4 linked regions of the Oryctolagus cuniculus genome follow. The protein of the gene in region 1 binds, or shares a complex with, the protein of each later gene. Links are inferred from orthologs where the notes say so. Each region holds a gene or a part of one and is shown in the gene's direction. Other genes may lie near its edges.

Evidence for each region.
Region 2: the proteins of VIPR1 (region 1) and VIP are in contact, whole or in part, in a cryo-EM structure (PDB 8E3Z), measured with the Homo sapiens proteins. The link is inferred for Oryctolagus cuniculus from reciprocal best matches to the Homo sapiens genes VIPR1 and VIP. Residues at the interface, in NP_004615.2 of Homo sapiens: Glu36, Cys37, Val40, Ile43, Asn69, Phe90, Leu92, Phe93, Tyr118, Ile120, Asp125, Asp126, Asp132, Gln135, Thr136, Tyr139, Val142, Lys143, Tyr146, Tyr150, Arg188, Lys195, Phe200, Ser202, Glu204, Ser205, Gln207, Cys208, Met219, Phe222; in NP_003372.1 of Homo sapiens: His125, Ser126, Asp127, Ala128, Val129, Phe130, Thr131, Asp132, Asn133, Tyr134, Thr135, Arg136, Leu137, Arg138, Lys139, Gln140, Met141, Ala142, Val143, Lys144, Lys145, Tyr146, Leu147, Asn148, Ile150, Leu151, Asn152.
Region 3: the proteins of VIPR1 (region 1) and ADCYAP1 are in contact, whole or in part, in a cryo-EM structure (PDB 8E3Y), measured with the Homo sapiens proteins. The link is inferred for Oryctolagus cuniculus from reciprocal best matches to the Homo sapiens genes VIPR1 and ADCYAP1. Residues at the interface, in NP_004615.2 of Homo sapiens: Glu36, Val40, Ile43, Asn69, Leu70, Ile89, Phe90, Phe93, Ile120, Gly123, Leu124, Lys127, Asp132, Gln135, Thr136, Tyr139, Val142, Lys143, Tyr146, Tyr150, Arg188, Val192, Lys195, Phe200, Glu204, Ser205, Cys208, Phe222, Gln223, Val226; in NP_001093203.1 of Homo sapiens: His132, Ser133, Asp134, Gly135, Ile136, Phe137, Thr138, Asp139, Ser140, Tyr141, Ser142, Arg143, Tyr144, Arg145, Lys146, Gln147, Met148, Ala149, Val150, Lys151, Tyr153, Leu154, Ala155, Val157, Leu158.
Region 4: the proteins of VIPR1 (region 1) and GNAS are in contact, whole or in part, in a cryo-EM structure (PDB 8E3Z), measured with the Homo sapiens proteins. The link is inferred for Oryctolagus cuniculus from reciprocal best matches to the Homo sapiens genes VIPR1 and GNAS. Residues at the interface, in NP_004615.2 of Homo sapiens: Arg174, His178, Tyr239, Leu240, Leu243, Leu244, Ala245, Val246, Ser247, Phe248, Arg252, Leu319, Lys322, Leu323, Pro326, Asp327, Ile328, Arg329, Lys330, Ser342, Leu345, Leu346, Leu391, Asn392, Gly393; in NP_000507.1 of Homo sapiens: Gln35, His41, Val217, Phe219, Asp323, Arg342, Asp343, Leu346, Tyr358, Pro361, Phe376, Cys379, Arg380, Asp381, Ile383, Gln384, Arg385, His387, Leu388, Gln390, Tyr391, Glu392, Leu393, Leu394.

The regions. Positions count from the first base shown.
Region 1 is NC_091441.1:105,425,417-105,431,054, reverse strand, and holds part of VIPR1 (vasoactive intestinal polypeptide receptor 1), read left to right. Parts: intron 1-1,859; coding exon 1,860-1,965; intron 1,966-5,638. UniProt on the Homo sapiens protein: G protein-coupled receptor activated by the neuropeptides vasoactive intestinal peptide (VIP) and pituitary adenylate cyclase-activating polypeptide (ADCYAP1/PACAP).
Region 2 is NC_091436.1:15,088,750-15,094,939, reverse strand, and holds the start of VIP (VIP peptides), read left to right. Parts: upstream 1-2,262; 5' UTR 2,263-2,427; intron 2,428-3,567; 5' UTR 3,568-3,577; coding exon 3,578-3,684; intron 3,685-5,449; coding exon 5,450-5,560; intron 5,561-6,190. UniProt on the Homo sapiens protein: PHM-27 and PHV-42 are two bioactive forms from proteolysis of the same precursor protein, that cause vasodilation. PHM-27 is a potent agonist of the calcitonin receptor CALCR, with similar efficacy as calcitonin.
Region 3 is NC_091441.1:57,533,458-57,537,852, forward strand, and holds part of ADCYAP1 (pituitary adenylate cyclase-activating polypeptide), read left to right. Parts: intron 1-1,487; coding exon 1,488-1,619; intron 1,620-2,056; coding exon 2,057-2,155; intron 2,156-3,297; coding exon 3,298-3,487; 3' UTR 3,488-4,395. UniProt on the Homo sapiens protein: PACAP is a neuropeptide involved in diverse array of physiological processes through activating the PACAP subfamily of class B1 G protein-coupled receptors: VIP receptor 1 (VIPR1), VIP receptor 2 (VIPR2), and PACAP type I receptor (ADCYAP1R1).
Region 4 is NC_091442.1:3,426,355-3,430,314, reverse strand, and holds the start of GNAS (guanine nucleotide-binding protein G(s) subunit alpha isoforms XLas), read left to right. Parts: upstream 1-1,160; 5' UTR 1,161-1,175; coding exon 1,176-3,063; intron 3,064-3,960. UniProt on the Homo sapiens protein: Guanine nucleotide-binding proteins (G proteins) function as transducers in numerous signaling pathways controlled by G protein-coupled receptors (GPCRs).

The DNA.
Region 1 (5,638 bases):
GGAAGTCTCAGGGGCATCCTGGGTTTCCCTGGAGCTGGGAGCTTGCCCAGCCATCGGCACTGATTACACTGGGATGAGCTGGACCACAGGTGACCTCTGAGTCTGTGAGGTTCCCCCAGGGCCTTCAACGAGGAATGAGAGAACCATGGTGGTGGAATGAGAGAACTCTGCTGTGTGGCTTCTTAGGCATGGAGTTTACCAGCCTCACCTGGACCCCTCTCCCTCCACACAGCTGAGGGCTCACTGCTATCTGGCATGCATGTCCCTCACCACGGTTCATTTAGTCAGAACGATGGTCAGAGTACAAAGCAGTTGGATGCTGCAGGCCAAGTTGGGGGGGGGGGATCCCCTTAAAGACAGGAAGTGAGGGAAAGACCCCCTCACCTCTCCCTTTAACTGCTTTCAAGAAACCCTTGAATCAGCAGAAAGGTCAAGTTGAGGCCCAGGGTGGAAGAGATGAGTTGGAGGCGATGCTGAGAATCTCCAGTTCTGGAGCAGCCTTGCTGGAGCCTCTCCTTTGGCCCTAGCGGGGAGGGGGCTCTGGTGTTGAGGTGAAAATTCCGACGTGGGGCTTCAGCCACTCTCCTAAAGTCAAACAGACAGGCAGAAGCTGCCACCAGTCATCGGCTCCTCCGCGGAGGCCTTGCCCACCCAAGAGCTCCTAAGACCTGGTCTTTTCCAGATGTTCCTGGACAGCTGTCACCCCCTCCCCCATGTCTGCCCCAGAGCCAGTGTCCCCAGTGTCACTGGGCTGGCCCCTCCTCTAATCCCTGGACAGTGCTCAGGGGGAGGGAGGGGAGCAGGTTGGCTTTTGCACCCCCCTCCCCACATTCCAGACGCAGGTGCCTCTGTACCTTCTGGAACCTTCCCTCACCTTCCCGAGATCTGCTCCAACCTGTATATTTTTGAAACTCAGGGCCTGGCATTTGGTGTAGCCATTCAGATACTCACATCCCACATTGGAGTGCCCAGGGTTTCATTGTCCATCCCGGCTCCTGACACGAGATTCCTGATGATGTGCACCCTGGGAATGCCCAGTGGTGATGGCTCATGTTCTTGGATGCCTGCCACTCATGTGGGAGACCTGAATCACATTCCAGCTCCTGGCTTTCTTTGGCCCCAATTCAGGCCCAGCTGTTGTGGGCATTTGGAGAGTGCATCAGCGGATGGGCGCATGGGCTCTCTCTCTGCCTCTGAATTCCACACACGCATGCATACATACATATTTTTAAGAAAACCAAAAAGGAAGTAGGTGGGGTCTGGGCAAGGAGAGCCAGCATCCCCTCCCCAGCCAGGTGGGCAGGGGTCTAAGCATAGGCTTGTGGAATGGAGCAGAGGCTGGAAATGCAGAGAGACTCTTAGATATTTCTAAGAGTGGCCTAAGAAACTGGGGGCCAGGATCCAACTCCCCAGGACAAGACAGCACTCGCTGAGCCACACCCTCCCCCAGGAAGACTGAGGCTGGGACAGAGGATTCCCAAGTCAAGCTGGAGAGAGGCAGAGGCCAGTGGCCAACTTAGGGTTCTGAAGAGAGGCCTTCCCATCTCTCTACAGGATTGGCCACCTGCAAAGAGGGAGTTACTTCAGCTGCAGCACTCTTCAGGGGCCACCAGGAAGCCATGCCAGGGCCCCCCAAGGCAGACCCAGCCTTGGGAAAAATGGACAACAATTTGGGGTCAGATCAGGTTCAGGGGTCAGTCGGGGGCTAGGCTGGAGTTGGGAGTGGGGTTCAGTCTGCAACTTGGACCTCCGGTAGGATGAATGCAATGTCATTTCCGTGGCCAGGCCCTGCTCTGGAGTCTGCAGATGAGGAAACGGACTGTGCCCCACTCACGGCTCCTCCCTGTCTCTGTCCCCAGGGCGGCCGGGCAGCCAGGCTGCAGCAGGAGTGTGACTACCTGCAGATGATCGAGGTGCAGCACAGGCAGTGCCTGGAGGAGGCGCAGCTGGAGAACGAGACAGCAGGTGAGGGCCTCTGCAGCCCGCGGTATCCTCATGCCTGGTGCCCCGGCCTGAGTTAGGTTCGTTCCCTGTGTGTGGGATGGGGACCAGGGACAGGGATCGACCTCAGAGCTGCCGGGTGGTGAGTGTGGGGAGAAGCAAGCAGGAAGGACTAACAGGCCCGCACGTTCCCAAAGAGAACATACTCAACTGGGGCTCCAAACAGTGCCTGAAACCCCTTCTCCTTTTGGAGCTCAAGGAAAAGTGGAGGTGATGCCTACAGCCTCCTGTCCCCCAGGGTGGAAGGCCTGGGGCCCAGCAGACGGGGGGTCTCTGGATCATTAGGGCACACAGGCTCCTCAATCCTTGGCCAAAGAGGAGCCGGGGCACACTCCTGGATCAGCTCACTCCAGCAGCTGGCGCTGGGCTTGGGAGATGTAACCCCAGCACAACACACCCAGGCATAGGCCATTGTCCCGGGCCAGAGGAAGAGGAAGAGCAGGGGACATTCAAATTCAGGTTGTGACTCCCTACAAGAAGCTCAGAGCCATCTGGGCCATCCAGAGCAAGAAGGCGCAACTGACTGCGTGGGGGTAGAACATTCCCCACGGGGAAAGCCGGGGAGGCCCGGCTCCTTCTTCCACACCCTAGGCGCTGTCACTCAGACACAGAGAGCACACACAGGCACACAGGCACCCCCAGGCACACGCCTGGCCTCCCTCTCCCAACCCACCCCCAGCAGGTCCGGTGAACTCCGGCTCTTTATCCTGGTGATTAGGCAAGTCAAGTTCATTCCCAGAGGCTGAGCCCACAGGGTCCTGTGCCCCTCATGCCCAGGGGCTCTGGGAGAGCTCCAGGCTGGCAGTGTGAAGACTTGTCAAGCTACCCAAACCCAGTGGCAGAGTCCCAGGACAGGTGTCGACCACCTGCACTTGGCTCAGCGGCCTGGGGCTGAGCTAGACTCAACAGGGTAAGGAGTGTGGGAGAAGCCAAGAGGCTGAGGAGGTGAGAGGCACTGGGCCAGGCCGCCCATGGGGTCCAGGGGTGTCCAGGTCAAGCTCACTGAGGACTGGCACGTGAGGATGGCTGCAGGCGGGAGCAGACTCAGGGCCGTCTCCCTGGGGGCAGGGCTTGCATTCGCACAGCAGCCTGGCTGGCAGCAGGGAGCACCTTGAGGTCTTCCTGGCTCCCTTGTCCCTGCCACCCCTCTGAGACTGACAGTCTCTTCCTGGCCCTGGTGCCCCAGCTCTGCCTCCTGCACCATAAGTGGATGCATGTAGCTTTCTTCCCCCAGGTCTCCCCCACCCCCACCGTGTGCCTCACCCCTTCCTACCCCGGCAGGGAGGCAGGACCAGGCTGCAGACAGGCCCAGAGGGTGGGATCATGGTCATCCCTGGGGGCCCAGAACCCAGACTCTCAGTCCCACCGCAGTGCCTCCCAAGCCCCAGGGGCCAACCACCCTCGTGATCCTCATGAGGTCACTGCTGGCACAGGGTGCCCATCGCGTGCCAACATCCTGCCCCCTGGCAGCCAGCCTGGGATCCTGGGGAGGGCAGGCATGGGTCCGTGGGCTGTGGGTCTCCCTGCGACCGGCGTGGGGCCCTATGTGTGTCTGTGCACATCCAGGTGTGCACTCTTGGCCTGCGTCTGTTTGGGGTTGTCTGTGGCTCTGGGTTTGACGAGAGTGTCTGTGTGGCTCGGGGGCATATGTCGTGTCTGTTTAAGCCTGGATGTGCCTAGACGTGCCTTCCTGGTGTTCTGTGTCTCTGTGTGTCCATGTGGGACTGTGTCATTGGTGTGAATGTCGGCGGTGTGTGTGGGGGTGGGGGGTTGGGCATGTCTGGGAGCTACATGTCCCTCTGTGCCTGTTTGCTGGCATCAGTGGTCCCTGCATTCATGCATGTATGTTTGCATGTGTGTCCGGGATCTCATGTGCCTGCCAGGAAACACGTGTCAGTGCATGTGGCTCTGAGCACACACGTCTATAACACAGCACCCACCCTCCCTCACCATCCATCACCCCAGGCTGTCCTGTTGGGGTCACAGCCCCCAGTGGACCCACAGCCAGCCTGGAATGTGTCTCTATGGGCCTGGTGACACACAATGATGGACTGTGGTGGCCTCTCTGGGATGGGCTCACAGGGTGCAGTCCCAGGGGGCACTCCCAGGGGGCAGCCCACAACAAGTACTTCTAGGTACTAGGTGTTTTCATGGCCAGCACCCTTGTCTGTCTCCCCAGCCATGCTGCCCCGGAAAACCAGCCCTGTCCTGCCTCCCACGAGGGGCTCCCCTCCACGTCCTCCATTCCAGCCTCTCTTTCCTGCCTCCCTTAATCTGATTGCTGACCTGTGCCCTGGTCCCGGGTCACCGCCCGGCCTTGGCTGTGCTGTGATTCCTTGAGGTTGAGTGTGCCCTCCCGAAAAGCAGGGCCCAGTCTCCTTCTCTTCTGTCTGCGCTCCGGTGAAGCAGAGCTCAGGGCCAGAGACGCAGCCCTGAATCCACTCCCCAACCTGAGCCGGCAGCTGGAGATTGCAGAGCCTGGCAGGGACTCAGACACAGCAGTTGGCCTACAAAACAGGGTGTGCCCAGCACTGTCAGGAAGGGATAAACAAAGTCCAGCAGCAACAAAATCGCCTTCAGGCCAGGAGGACAGGGTGCACCGCTCCCCAGCGCTGCGGGCGGGTGCTACCAGTCACCAGCCTCAGTTTCCCCATCTGTGAAATAGAAGGGTTAAACCAACGATTCATCAAGGGAGGTTAGAACAGGGCCTGGCGCATACCAAGATGACGTAGTGTTTGCTGATGTTATTAACAGCATCTTGAACCATGAATAGGATTCGACTGGCCTGAAGGGCCCCTACACGGCCTCCAGGGAGGCTGGCTCTGGAGGGCAGCCACAGAGTCCTCAGGACAGGTTAGAGTGACAGTGTAGTTGGGGCTGGACTCTGCCCCAGCCTTGGAGATGCAGGTGTCTTCCGCAGCTGTCAGCGGCAGCTGTCACCTGACTGCCGCAGCCCCAGAAGGAAGCTGCACCTGCCGCCAGCGCACCCCGGCACACAGAGTTCCGACGCTCTGCCCCCAGCAGGGCTGTGCCTCCACCTTCTCTTCCCAGGCCCCCTTCTTGGGAACTGGTGAACCTTCGGACCTGGGCTGGGCAGGGCTTGGCCCAGCTGGCGTTGACTTTGGCTCAGGGGTTGGGTTGCCTGAGCAAATCTATGAGACTGGCAGGATTGCAAAGAGACAATTAAGCCTCCTGCAGGGGCGGGGGTCCCGGGTAGTCCTACTCCCCAGGCAGGGGTGGTGGGGGCGGGGGGGGGGTGAGGATGTTAGCCAGTTTCTAAAGAAGCAGAACCTTGGCGTTTGCCTTTGCCTAGTAAAGCAGAACCGCTAGAGACCCCTGTGTCACTATCAGCAGCCAGGCCCTGCCAGCTCCAAGATGAAGACCACAGCCCGAGGGGCGGGGTTTGCCAACCCTGCCAGATACCCACTCCCATCACCATTCACCTCCTGCTGAGCTGGGGCCATCTGTGTTGCCTTGTGAGTTTTGTACAGTCTCTCCAGAACCAGCTGCACCCCCTCATCCTCACCACCTCCTTTTTTTTTTAATCACATTTTCTACTGCCTCCTTTCCTATCAGCAAATGACCTCCAGGCCCCACATATAAATTCATTTAAAAAAAAAACTTACATTCCAGCTAT
Region 2 (6,190 bases), on another chromosome or scaffold:
GAGGGATGGGCCTTTCGGGCTTTTAGCCAATAGTTGAAGCCCTCAGATCAAGGCTTAATAATTCAGAGTTTTCACGGCACGTCTCATGGCACATTCTGGTCTCGTGGCTGGGTATGAGTTAGGGTGAGTTAGTTAGACAGGCAAACTGCCACACAGAGGCATGGCTTGGGAAAATAATCCCTGAGAGGATGAAGAGCCTCCATTAGCTTTTGCACTGGCAATCAGAGTGATTCTGAATTTCTGCCAATCTCCTGACCTTGAAAACCCCTTCCAACTGATCTCCCTGTATCTAATTTGTTTCATTTTGACATATCTTTCCATAATTTACCCAACTCTGGCAAAATTCATTTCCTACTTTTTGGAAAGATAAAGCAGATTTAGCTGCATTTGCTGAGTGCTATTATAAAATATTCTAGATAAATTTAATTTCAGTATTTTTTCTTATGATTATTTTTCTGGAAGCATCTATAATTCGACTGGTTAAAGATTCATTTACACCTCATTTCCTTGAAAGAAGAGAAAAAGTACTCAGATGATTTTATTAAAATCTATGAATTAAGACTTTGAACCTGCAGATGGTGCTGTGATCCTATTTTGAAATAGCTTTGATTTCTAGTTTAAATTCATTAGAAAAAAAATGCAGGTCTTTACTTTAGTGTTTTTTTTTCTACCAAAAAGTAATAAAATTCAATTCATCTCTTTATTTTTATGTTTTATTATTATAATGGGAGAAAACATCTACTTCGACCAAAGTAATAATGAATTTTGTTTTTTCTTCTATATAATTTCAGCTTGTCATTCAGCATCAATTGTCTGTAACTCCCAATCAACTTACATTGCTGTTGCTGTTCTTAAATAAAATTGATTCACTGAGGATTGGGTGACGAAAAGCTAAAGATAAAAAATTCCATATGAGAACCATTTCAACCTCTAGTTTGTAATAATCAGGTAAAAAAAGATTTCCTGGAATTAAGCCACAGGAACTCTGGTTTAAGTCAGAGCTGTCAACTGGGAAACAAATTTCCAGACATTTTGAAATTTAATTCATTTAATTTTTCTTGTAACTGGATTATAAAATATGATTAAGCATAGCAAGATATTCTGGATCAGTCTGACTTTGAATGAAGCAAATAGATACTAAAATGTTAAAGAAGAAAGAAGGTTTTACAGCCATTCTCCCTTGTGGAACATACAAATAAAAAATTTAAAAGAATACACTCATTAGGAATTTTTAAATAAAAGGAAAGATAGTATTTTCTTTTGTTGTACACAAAATTGTTCCTGTAGTTCCACTTTTATCTCAAATTCTGATTGAATGTACACTAAGCCACTGTAATCAAGGAACTCACAAGAAGAAATTAAGTATTTATCAAAATGCTCTACAAATGCAAATAAATCTTTGAACATAATTTAAAGTGATTGAATCAGAAATTTCCAAAAACTATTGCACACATATGTGTGTGTTGGGGGAGTGGGAGTAGAAAGTGAAATAATTCTACATAGTGCAAGCATTTATAAAGTGATATAGATAATTATTAAAAGGAAGAGAAATTCAGTGCTTTGAGGGATAGAGTCTGAGAAGAATTTTAGGAGTGATCATTTGATATCATATTGAGATGTGAATTGGGAATTACGTTATTTTATGCATATGTGAAACAGCAACTGCACTACTGTTTCATACAACATATTTTTCTATCTTGGAGATTTTCTGAAAACTTTTATCTTAAGATTATTTTCAACAAAAAGAAAACATATTAATAGAAGGGAAAATTATTTCCAGATGCTTTTAAAATTAGGATAAATTTCAAGAAGGACTAAATAAGGATCTGCTTGAATAATAGAAAAGAAAGAAAGAAAGACTAGGGGAATTGATGCTTTGTAATAAAAGATAATTATACATTCATAAGCATAATGAACGTAAGTATTTGTAGCTTTCTCAATTTGTTCCTGCACATGAAGTCATTATCTGAAGGAACCCCAGTAGCCCTGGCTCTAACACCATAATCATTCTCTTATTCCATTAAGACAAAGTAAATATCAAAACATTTCACATTAAGCTTGGTACATTTTTTTAAAAAAGCAAATTTCCTCTTTTTATCTAAGATCCTCAAGTTACTCACTACAAATTTATATAAATCAGACATAATGACAATTTAATATGAACTTCAAGCCCTATTCATCTCGTGGGAGTATTACTGTGACGTCTTTCAGGGAGCTTTGTGATTGCTCAGCCCAAGTATAAGCCTATAAAATGATGGCTTTGAAACACTGGTCAGGGAAGAGTGAAGGGCAGTAGCCAGCAATAACAGCCAACCCTTAGCCAGTGCTACGGACAGAGAACTGGTGGAGCCTTTCTTGGCTTCGCAGAACTTCAGCACCTTGGACAGCTCCAGAACACCAGGTCCCTGAGGAACGCTACCCAGCAAGGTAAGTGAAAACTTTGCTTTTCCTTTTTATGTTTCCTGCCTGTGGAACTCTTCTTGGGGTATATTAAATTCAGGTCACCTGGTAAGAATAGAATGAATTTTCAGAATTATGTTCATTGGAAGATGTTTTACCCTCCTGCTATTTTGCTTAATACTGATTTTAAAAAATACACCCAAGAAGGGGTTTTTGACTATATATATATATATATATATATATATTTATATATATATATATATTGACTGAAGGGTTCAGTAGGTACATTTGTTTTTGAAGTCTTCAACTTCTTTTGAAAGAACTGTTATTTCTATTTCACATGTTGGTTAAGTGAACTTGGAACACATTTTTTCTCCTCTGTAAGTTTAAATGCTGTGATTTTTATATACAGCAAAAAGAAAACACAGACCTTGTCCTTCTAAGTTTATATCTAGAAACTATTTATAAATGAAGTGAGTGGACCAAGTGCAAGAAAAATAAGCTTTGTTTTTACATATATTTTGTGGCATAATGAACCACATAATAACAATATGTGATTCAATGAGTTTATCAATATTAATTTTCTCTCAGTTAATTTATTTAAACCTAGGCCAAAATTGTGTTAATACACAAAGAAGTAAGTTTATGCTAGTATCTACAACTAGGAGAGGAAAATATGTATTTATAAAATGTTGTGTTCTAGTATATATATGTACATTATATTCATAGATACACACTGTATACACATGTTTATATATAATTTACCAGAGTAGAAGAATATTTAAATACATTATATTCCAGTTTTATATTAACCAGATGTTAAAGGCTTAAAGTAGGAAAAAATAATTTCTTGAATTGATTTCCTTAGAAAATATACTTAACTTTGATGCTACAACTCTATTATAAAGTATGATATTCAATATATTCTTAGGCTAAGTGCCTGGGGAAAGATAAGCAACCAATGAAAAGCATCCTAATTTTTTTCAAATGCTTGTCACCAAGAGAAATTTTCTTCATTTAAGAGTAATCATACCCAGTTTAACTATCTCTTCAACATGAAAACTATTTTTAAACTCCTCAACAAACTTCAGAAATTATTTCTAGACACACAGCACTGCCTTGCTCATGACATGTGGATTTGAAAGACTTATCTGGCTCTCTCTTTAGAGGCACAGAAATGGAAAGCAGACACAAGCCCCAGCTCCTGGTGTCCCTGATACTTTGCAGTGTGCTCTTCTCGCAAACATTGGCATGGCCACTTTACGGAGCCCCAGGAACTCTAAGGTAGGTCCTTTTCAGACAAGTTTCTCTTGTAATTCATCAGTTGAACATTCATTCTTTGTCTAAATGGCAATGCCCTACATGCTATTTTCGACAACTCAACATTTAAAATCGTGAAGTATGCACATAAATCTTTTGGTTTGTGTATTGAGCAAGATGTTTTCAGCATCAAGTTGACAGGTTGGTCATGAATCCTGTGTGCAGGCATGACAAACAGTGTCACTGATTAATTCTACAGGTCAAGTGGTCACATTTCTAAACATGAATGGCAATTTGACTTTCCATTCATTCAGAACCAGTTTTAGATGAGTAATAAACTTTCCTCAGTTCAATTCAGTTCAGTTTCTGATAGAAAAATAGCTGTTTAGCTGCCAAACTCCTTTTAAATTTTTCTAAAGGTCTATCAGTACATATTAGTTTATTAGTGAAACATGCATAAAATCATATTGGAAAGATCTGTATATAGGAAAGATTTATTCTCTAATATTAAAATAGTGGAATAACTTTTTAATTGAGACCCATTTCCTTAATACTTCCTTTATTAGTACATTTTAATGTATTAGGTTAGAATTATAAATACTTAGTTTTAGTGTTTTATATGTTACTATATGCCATACTTCAAATTAGTAAAGTACGCAACTCACAATTAAAGCCTTTCTAACGTAAAATAAATGTATTCAAAGTAAGTGAACAATAAATGAAGGATATGTTAAACTCATTTTTCCTTCAAAGTCATAGACACCACCATATTTTAAGGGAAAACAACAATTTGCTTATTTGTCCATTTCTGATCATTTACTTAAGGTATTCTTAAGTTCCATATAGTGAATTATCTATTAGCCTGTAAGTGTTATCTATGAAATTTGTTTAAAGCTATCTCCTCTAGTTCATGGACAACTTAGTAGAATGGGTCCATTGGAATGCTTTCATGACAAACAAGGAATAATCTGAAGTATGCTAAAGTTTTTGTTACTCACATGACTTGAGATTCACAGAGGACTGCTCATTACTATCAATTTTTATATCATGAAAGATACATACATAAATGCAATGGTGTGCTGGTGGTAAGAATGTGCATATACCTACAAATATAGTCCTATTTCATAGGTAGGCATAACTGTTCTTAGGTTCCCATGTGTCACTGTATTTCTTCACTTATCAGAAGGTCTCACAAATTCTTGAATTCGAGTAACTAGTAATAGACAGAGAGATTACTTGGACTTGTTAAATACAGAGAAATATATCATGCTAAGGTAAATCTTTGAAGTAAAACTTAGATACCTAGAGAGAAAAGTGAGTGATATTCAGCTCTGAAGAGATTAGGGCAAATATACTAAAAAACCAAATACAAAAATTGCTAACAGTTTTAATATTATTACATTTTTCCAAGTTTCTATTTTGTAAATGTTTCTCTGCCTGTAATATTGACTTTAAAAAGTGAATATATTCTTGGGGAAACACATTTACCAAGGAAGTGTACTTTGCTAATGTTCCAAGAGGATTGAATAAAGTAGCTCTTACAAGTTGTACACACATCTTATAAAAGTTTTATAACATTTATTTTATGGGCTAATAAAAGTTTTCACTTCATATTATCATTAATCATAGAGTACATTGAATTAAAGTATGCTATTCTTATATTGGAAATGGGTGATACTTCTCCAAATTTTCAGTATCTTACTTCAAATGATTGCTTTACCATAGGAGGAAAGGAATATATTTTACTCCTAATTCCTAATGTATTTTTCCCTAAAACATTGGCTGACAGAATACAACCGGAAGGAGCAAATGAACCTGATCAGGTTTCATTAAAATCAGATACTGACATCCTGCAAAATGTGTTAGCTGAAAATGACACACCCTATTATGATGTATCTAGGTGAGTTTATTTTTATTGAGTCTTATGTTCAAATACATACTTTAGAAATATGTTTGTCTAATTTTATCTCACCATGAAGCTACTCCTCTAGCATAACAGTACGGGTTTCCTTTCTCTGACTTCATTCAGCCTGATTTGTTGCAGCTTTCGAAGCTATACATGATTTTCATATAGAAAGGTTGTTAACAAACAAACAAAAAAGAAACAGAAAGAACACAGTATTCGCTTATATTCTGTTGGACATAGTTCCGAGATCACAGATTGTATCATCCCTAGTAAAGCTACAGCAAGTTGCACTCCACAATGGAGAGAGTGTTAAGGACACATGTATCTCTTTGTAAAAAGGAGGTGTCTAAGAGTTAGAGCTGTTCGTTTGTAGAACTGTTTGTCTAGAACAGCTTTCAGCAGAGACTTAGTAGCTCTATCCTGAAGTCAAGTATAAAAGGTTCCTCATCTGAATGGAAAAGTTAGTGATGGGCCCTAAAATCCTCTCTATTGTAAAGAGTTTTACAGAAGAAATAAAAATAGGTATAATAGATTTGTGAACGTGACAAAACTAGAATATTTTAACTTTGCATTTATTTTTATTCGTGGGAGTAGAAATAAAACACTGTAAGTAAATAGAAACTA
Region 3 (4,395 bases), about 48 Mb from region 1:
GAGGGACGGGGAACAACGGATGCAAGGGAGGAAGAAAAAGCAGGCAGGCAGGCAGACAGGCAGGCAGGGCCGGGAGGACAGACCTGCCCGACCCAGGATGCCTGGAATCCTGGCCTATTTCTTGTAGGGTTTCTAGTCGTCGGTACGGCTCGGGTCTTCACCGCAGCCCCAGAGTCTCTAGTCAGTGCACCGGACAGTGGAAGCGCTCTGGGTCCGCACTCGGTGGCGTTTTGAGCAGCCAGGAGCGCGCGCGCTCTGCCGGAAAAGCCATCCTTGTGAGCCGCGCCCTAGAGCGTGCGCCAAGGCCAGAGAGAAGAGTCCCACCTTTTGAATTCAGATTCTAGTATCTGGGCGGAGGAAAGGGCAGGAGGTGGCTAGAAAGACCCGGGGTTCGGGGTACCACGGCCAGGGCTGAGGCGCGTCGCTGTGGAAGGCTGGGTGTGGGGCGTGCGGAAACCTGAGCGCGCCTTGCAGTGGCCTCTCCAGGGATGGAGGAAAAGCCAGAGGAGTTACGAGTTCAGCCTCGCCTAGAAAGTGCTCCTTGTCCCGACCGCATTCCGAGACTCCCCAGCGTTCCAGAGCGATGGTTTTTTTGTTCTGACCCACCGCTTCCCGTCCCGTATCCCGGATGGAGGCGCTGGCCGAGGTCGCCACGTCCCTGCTGGCTATCAGGTCCCCTGATGACTTCCTGCACTCTGGGGTTGGGATCGGGTCCCACCGTCTCGCCACCGCGAACAGAGTAGTGCGAACTATTTAGAGGATTCACTAGCCTTTATTTCACTCCCAACTATTTTCGAAGTTCTGTGTGCTTGGCAATTTCCCCGGGCAAGAAGCACCTGAGGGCGCGGACACACCACAAAACCAACCGCCGCCAAACTGGCTAAGTTTAGGGGCATCTATTATTCATGTTCCTGCCAGATCCTCTCCGGCCCAAAATAGACGCTAGAGGTTCTCCGTGACCTACATCTGCGCGGGGAAGCGCTCCCCTGGGCCAGGCGGCTTGGATGGGGGTGGCTGGCGGAGTTGATCGCCGCGCACCCGACCCTCCCACCCTCTCCTTTCTGCTCCAGGCCTTCCACTTCGGGTCTTCGCGTTGATCAGCGCGAGGTCTCCCAGGGCTTCTCACGGCCCCGCGGGTGGCTACTTGAAGTAGGCTCGGGCACCACGCGGGGCGAGGGGCGGTCCTTTTCGGTGGTCAGGTGTGCGCTGTTAGTGCAGACAACCGGGTTTCCCAGGGCTCCTTGAGGCCAGGGCCCCGCAGGACGACCCTTTCCCGATGAGAGGAGGGGTGGGCGAACCGCCTCACGGGGTGGGAACTGCTTTTGGGTGGGGGTGCCCTTCTCCTTACCCCTGCCCCCACTCTTGTTCTGGAAGAGAGGACAATTCTCGATGCGGGACCTCAACGAAGAAGAGCCCCTTTTCCTGGGTCATCGCAGACTGGGAGGGACTTGTACTGACCACTCCTTCTGTCTGTGGCTACCCCGCAGGCCAGAGGACGAGGCTTACGACGAAGACGGAAGCCCCCTGCAAGATTTCTACGACTCGGACCCTCCCGGCGCAGGGAGCCCCGCCTCCGCGCTGCATGATGCCTATGCACTGTACTACCCTGGGGAGCGGAGGTACCACGCGGGGTCTTCGCCGAAGGGGGCGGAGGGGGCGGGGTGGGGGTGCAGGACAGTGACCCAACGAGTAGGTTCTTTTTCATAAAGATCCTCAAGCCTCTCTTCTCCCAGGCTGGAGAATTAGTAGCAGGCGGGTGTAATACGAATCTGAGGGCCGCGGCGGGAGTGCTCCGCAGCCCAAGTGTCAGTGAGTGCGCTCCTGGGCATGTGGGGAGCCCACACTCACGCTCGTCATTCCCAAGAGGTCAGGACCAACTTCGTATCCTAGCATCTACGCTTGCGTACACCCCAAGAGTCCTGTTCGCAAATGCTGTGCCACTGGGGTCCCAGTCTGCCTCCTTAAAAGCCCTGGGGCGCACACGTCCGGCAGGGTAGCCTCGGGCGGCCTGTCGGAGGCACAGTCATTGACCCTGGGCACTTTGCCTCCCTGTTAGAGATGTAGCCCTCGGGATCCTTAACAAGGCCTACCGCAAGGTGCTGGACCAGCTGTCCGCCAGGAAGTACCTGCAGACTCTCATGGCCAAGGGCATGGGGTAAGAGTTTGCGAAAGAGTTAACTGACGCGTGATGCCGCGCGCGCCGGGTGGGTGTCCGCGCAGGGCGCACGCGGGGCAGGAGGCGCGGCTTCTGCGTTGGGGCGTGCAGGTACAGCGGAGGCTGAGTCTGCGCCCTGGGGGCGCGGTGGGGGCGGGTACCAGCCACCTGCCGTGGGCGGAGTTTCTGAAATGATTCCTTAAGTATGGTCCAGAGATCGCGAGGTCCGGGGAGAAGGAAAGAGGGCAGGCGAACCGGAGTTTGATCCATTTTTAATGAAAAGAAAGAAATCAAACACTCCCTCCCTCCCTTCCAGTCATTCAAAACCTCCAAGGTTCGCGGGAGGATTTGCTGTAATTTCCTCTAAGCGTGGCTTTTTTTTTTTTTGAGAGGGGGAATTGCATTTACTGTAAATTCAAATCGAAATAAACAAATCACCAAATTTGGACGCTTAGGGAAACAAACAGTTTTCGCTCACGCCAGACAAACCCAGAGCATAGGGCTTGCGGGCAGCGTATCTCAGCAGAAGGCAACATTTTAATAAAACCCCTGGGAAAACAGATTATATTTTCGCAATGAATAATTCATGCGGTGAAAAATATTGCCCACAGCCTGTCGACTTGTATTATTATCACGTTTTTCAACTTAGCGTGTGGAAGGAGAGGCGTGCTTGTCTTTGCCTAGGAATTGCAGGATCGATACAAACTGCCCGGCAGCGGCCATCGTGGCTCGCAGGGCTCTATGGTGATTTCTTTGTATGTCGGGGGTGAGAGGAGCACTGAGGACAATTTAGCGCCAAGGCAAATCTCCAAGGGCAGCGCTGGGAGAAAGATTAGGCTGCACTCCTGCTCTGCTTGCCCCGATCGCATCCCGGGCGCCTTCTGCAGTACTTAGAGCCAGGAAATCTTGGGCGGGAGGGAGGAACACAGACAGGGGTTTCCATCTGCGCCCTGTCGGGGGCAGAGGGAGGAGGCGCGTAGGGGGTGTGAGCCCTGCGCCACACCCTCCCTGAAGGCCCCCCCCCCAGCAGGGTGGGGACCGCCTGCTCCCCTGCGCGTATTGAACGTGTGTCTCCCGCCCCGCCACCTTCTTCCCGAACCCCCACCCCCTATTTTTTTTGTTTGCTCTGTTTTGTTTTGCAGTGAAAACCTGGGCGGCGGCCCGGAGGACGACTTGGAGCCGCTCTCCAAGCGCCACTCGGACGGGATTTTCACAGACAGCTACAGTCGCTACCGGAAACAAATGGCTGTTAAGAAATACTTGGCGGCCGTCCTAGGGAAAAGGTATAAACAAAGGGTTAAAAACAAAGGACGCAGAATAGCGTATTTGTAGCGAAGAGTTACCACCTACCCTGTGTATAAACCCTGCCACAATGAAAAGTCGTTTTCCAAACTGACAGAACAGTCATTGCTCATATGTTCTATCCAAACATGTATTTATGTATGAAGTAAAGCCATTAAATGAATATTTTGATAATAATATTGTTTTTCTTTTTACAAAGCACTAGAGAATGCACAGATATACTTTGTGGACCAATTATTGATATATATTATAAATATATTAAAAGAATATCTATATAATAGAGAGCGATTCATACAAAGTGTGCACAAGGATTGAAAATTCGCCTGAGCTGTTTATGTTTTTATATAAAATACATAGAAAAATAGACAATCATTGTTTTGAATATTACTCCTATTTTTATAAACTCGAATTAAAAGGATAGTATTTTTATCCACGACAGGCCTGAAGATATTAATACTGACCATTTGCTACTGTACATAAACAATGATGCCCTGCTCCAGGGAGACTTTGAGGTAATGACTTGGAGAACTGCCCAAGGGCGTTCTTCCTGGTGAGTCTCTGGGGCAGGCTGCTTCAACCCCAGCCGAAATGACTCAACTGGGCAGGGTCCCCCCTGGCTGGGTGGCAACTTTCTTTGATTCTACTTTATTGTGTATTTGTCTCTCTTTTAGACTCTCAGCCCAGAAGGAAATTCTCCTAATAAAACAACAGCTCGATCCAAATTGTGCTTCACCCCTACCCCCAGAATTCACACCGCTCCCTGGGTGAACAGTTGAGGAACTGTACAGAGAAGGAGGCTCAGGATGGGGAGCCCTCTTTTTTGTACCTCCTGATTCACCAGGGAAAATTACTATTCCCAGGTTAGGGCAATTGGAACAAAGTGAGGGAGATAGAGGTATATCGGAAGAGGCAGAGCATAAGGCAGTAGGAGGAGGATC
Region 4 (3,960 bases), on another chromosome or scaffold:
CGCTCTGAGACCTGCGCCCCGTGGGGCTCGGCTCCCCAGCGTGTCCCGCGACCCCCATTCCGTGCCGCCGCGGCCGCTACACTGCGGGGAGGCGGGGGGCTTGGCTTGGTTCTCCATGGTGCAGTCAGGAGACCCCCATATTGCGTCGCATCATTGTCCACAAAAACAGAGGGACCCCTTACTGCGCCGCCCACGGCCACTGCGGAGACCCCAGGAGCCACGGGGGTGGGCGATGCTAAAGTGCCTCGCCACGGCGGACCGCGGCAAGTGTACCCAAGGCGTTTTACAAAACAAACTGTGCGCTCGCTCTCGACAGCCCCCCTCGCTCCTCATCCTCCTCCCTGCCCTTCCGGTGGGCTCACGACCACCTGTCGCATTCCCGCGCGCGCACGCCACTGTCCCCGGGCATCTAGAGCCTTACGCTTGGCTCGAGATCTGGGGCTAGGGGCTTCGGCGCAGGGGTGCAGGGGTATCCTGGGGTGAAGGAAGAAAAAGAAAGCCCTCTGCAGTCCCCCGCCCCCCGAGGAGAGTCGGCGCGGGCGGGGAGGGAGCGATTCTGCTCCTGTTCTCCAGCATCCCGAGGCCCACGTCTTGTGTCACGTGTCTCGCTCGCAACGCAGGAGAGCTTTGTGTGGCCAAGGGGAGAAGCGAGGAGAAAGGCTCCAAATCAGTCAGGGAGAGGCGTGGAAGGAGCCCAAACGTCCCTGCGAGGCCTGCGCTCGCCAGCCCCTTACCCAAAGCCGGGCCGGCGGTGCAGGGAACCAGCTTGGCACCGGGACCTGCGTCCTCTGGTGGCAGAGAGAGCGCGCGACTGGCGATTTTCGGACCGAATCGGCACGCTCCTCAAATCCAAGCAGTCTGTGTTGGCCTGGAGCAGAGAGAGAGAGAGAGAGAGAGAGAGAGAGAGGAGGGGACGAAGGCCGAGCAGGCCGGGTGGGGGCCTGAGGGAATCACCAGTGGCCAGGAAGGAGCCAAGACTTCACCAGCCAGAACTGCACTGCCTTGGCCATGGTCTGGGGTTCTAGGCCCTGAGTGCGCTCGGGAAGTGAGGCCGCAGAACTTCCCAGCTGGTACTTTTTTCTTTCTTCCTTTCAAATAATTTTTTTCACCCTAGTTCGGTTGGGTGCTCCGTCTCACGGAGCCCCCACATCATTGTAAGAGGCCGCCACCGTGTTATGGGCCTGCGCTACTGCCTCGACGGCAATAATATGTCAGGACAACGCCATCTCCCCCCTGAAGTCGGGGAGCAGCCTCCACAGCCAGCCTTGGAGGCCCCAGGGCCAGCTGCCCCCGGTGCTGGGCCTGGCCCAGCCGAAGAGATGGAGACCCAGCCGCCTGCCAGCGAGCCCGTCCCCGCACAGGCTGGCGCCGAGGCCTGTGAACCCCCTGAGGTCTCCGGGGGCACCCTGGAGGGCCTCGCCGTGGCAGCTGACCAGGAATTCGGAGGCGATGGAGGCTACAGCCCACCTCCCGAGGAAGCCATGCCTTTTGAGGTCCAGCAGCCCAGCGTGGGAGGCTTCTGGCCCACCCCAGGGCCCATCGCAGGCCTCGAGGCCTCTGTGGATCCCGGAGTCTCGGGCAGTGCCGGGCCTGGCCTGGGAGGCTACAGCCCCCCACCAGAAGAAGCCATGCCCTTTGAGTTCGAGGAGCCTGCTGGCCAGGGAGGCTGCAGCCAGCCAGCATCGGGGGTCCCCGACCTCGCTCCCGGTGGCACAGACCTGGGGGTCCCTGGAGCTCCTCCCGGGAAGTCCGGGGCGCTCAGGCCTGCCAGCGCTGGCCTTGGAGGAGGCTATAGCCCTCCCCCCGAGGAGGCTATGCCATTTCAGCTTGATGGAGAGGCCTTTGGGGACGACAGCCCACCCCCCGGGCTCCCCCGAGCGCTCCCACAAGTTGCCAACGGCGACGGTGGCAGCAGCGCGGCAATCGCGGTCCCGAGTGCGGTCTGCCTCGCTCCCGCCACCGACGCGCCACCCCTCTGGGTCCCAGAGGCTGTCAGAGCTGCTGCTAACTTCGCGGGCGCCAGCCCCCCGATGGAGATCGCCGGACCCCCGCTCGAGATGCGCAGCGCCCCCGTCGGGGTCGACGACGCTCCCGTCAGCATGGACAGCCCCCCAATCGCGAGTGATGGCCCGCCCATCAAGGTCTCCGGAGCCCCAGATAAGAGGGAGCGCGGCGAGAGACCCCCAGTTGAGGGTGAAGCAGCCGAGATGGAAGGAGGCTCGGTCAGCGCCTCTGCGGAGAAAGGAGAAGTCCCCTCTCCGGGGGACGGAGCCTCGGGCGCCCCAGCTGGGGCCGCTCCCGCCGCCGGAGCCGCTCCCGCCGCCCCGGCGGAGCCCGAAGCCGGGGGAGCCCCGGCCGCTCCTGGCACTGCGGCCGCCGGGGCAGCCCCGGCCGATGCCGAAGCCGACGCCGACACCCGCGCAGCCCCCGGCGCCGCAGCCGCTCCTGATGCCGGGGCAGCCCCTGCCGCCGGTGGAGCCCCTGGTGCCCCGGCCGAGCACGCCGCAGCCGCCGGGGCCCCCCAGGCAGCCCCCGCCGCGCCTGCCTCCGGGGCCAGACGCAGGCTCCATCTGCTCAGACCCCCCAGCCCCGAGATCCAGGCTGCTGACCCGCCTACTCCGCGGCCTGCTCGCGCGGCTGCCTGGCGGGGCAGAGCTGAGCGCGGCCGAAGCCGCCGCCGCTACGACGACGAGGGGTCGACCAGCGGCGACGCCGACTCCTCCAGCGGGGACGAGTCCGAAGAGCGGGCCGCCGGCTGCTTCCACTGGTTCCAGCGCCGCACACGCCGCCGCCGCAAGCCCCGGCGCAACTTGCTCCGCAACTTCCTCGTGCAGGCTTTCGGGGGCTGCTTCGGTGGTCGATCTGAGAGCCCCCAGCCCAAGCCCGCGAGCCCCAGCAAGGCCAAGAAGGTTTCTCTGGCAGAGAAGCGCCGACAGATGCGCAGGGAGGCCATGGAGAAGCGCGCCCAGAAGCGCGCCGAGAAGAAACGCAGCAGGCTCATCGACAAGCAGCTGCAGGCCGAGAAGATGGGCTACATGTGCACTCACCGCCTGCTGCTTCTAGGTAACGCGGCGGCGGACTCTGCCCAGGGGCAGCAGCCCCGCCGGGGACCGGGGAGGGGGCGCGGGGCGCGGGGCTCGGCCGCGGGAGGAGGGGGCACGGCCAGGAAGTTCCACGGAGGGACCCTAACTTTGCCCCGGGCGCGGGAGGGGAGCTGGGGCGGGTTCGGGTGGCCGAGGTGTGTGCCCTCCAGGGAGAAAAGTGGTGCCGAGCGACACTGAGGGTCGTTTCCGGCTGGACAGGCCAGCGCCAGCGACCGTAAGCTGGACAGGCGGGGGCTTCAGGTGAGCCGGGAACTGCCGGAAAGGGGCGCCCACTCTCCGCCGGCTTAGGTTTGTTGGGGCCGCGGTGGGCTAGGGCCATCGGGGAAGGCGCGCCCCCGCCTCGCCTGGCACGGCTTGTTCTCGGCCAGCTTGTCGTTGGTGTGTGTCGGTGTGCGTATTCTCTGTGTCCGCCTGTGCATGACACGCTCAAGTGTTCCCCATCCCCGGCAACCCCCCCATCCCCGGATTACCCGCCGACCGTGTACTTGTACTTGGGGACGGGCTGTCGTGATGCGCGCCATGGCGCGGGCTGAAACTTTGCGCGTCTGCACACTCGTATGACACCTGTGCGCCGGCACTCCGCGGCGGAACCCGGCTGGGCCACCGGCCCGGGGGGGCGCCTCGGTAACCTTGTTCCTCTGTGTCTTTCTCTCTTTCTCCCTGTGCGCTAAGTGTTTCCTCACTTCTCATTCGTTCGCCAAACCCTCCCGCCTTTACAGTTGAAAAACCAGACACGCAGCACAGGTATCTGGGGCATTGGGGCTGCACACTGGATTTCAGCATTGCGCACAAGCACACTCACCTGGAGGGGGATGGGAAGTGGCTGGGGTGGGGGATGGAGGACATCTAGCCTGCT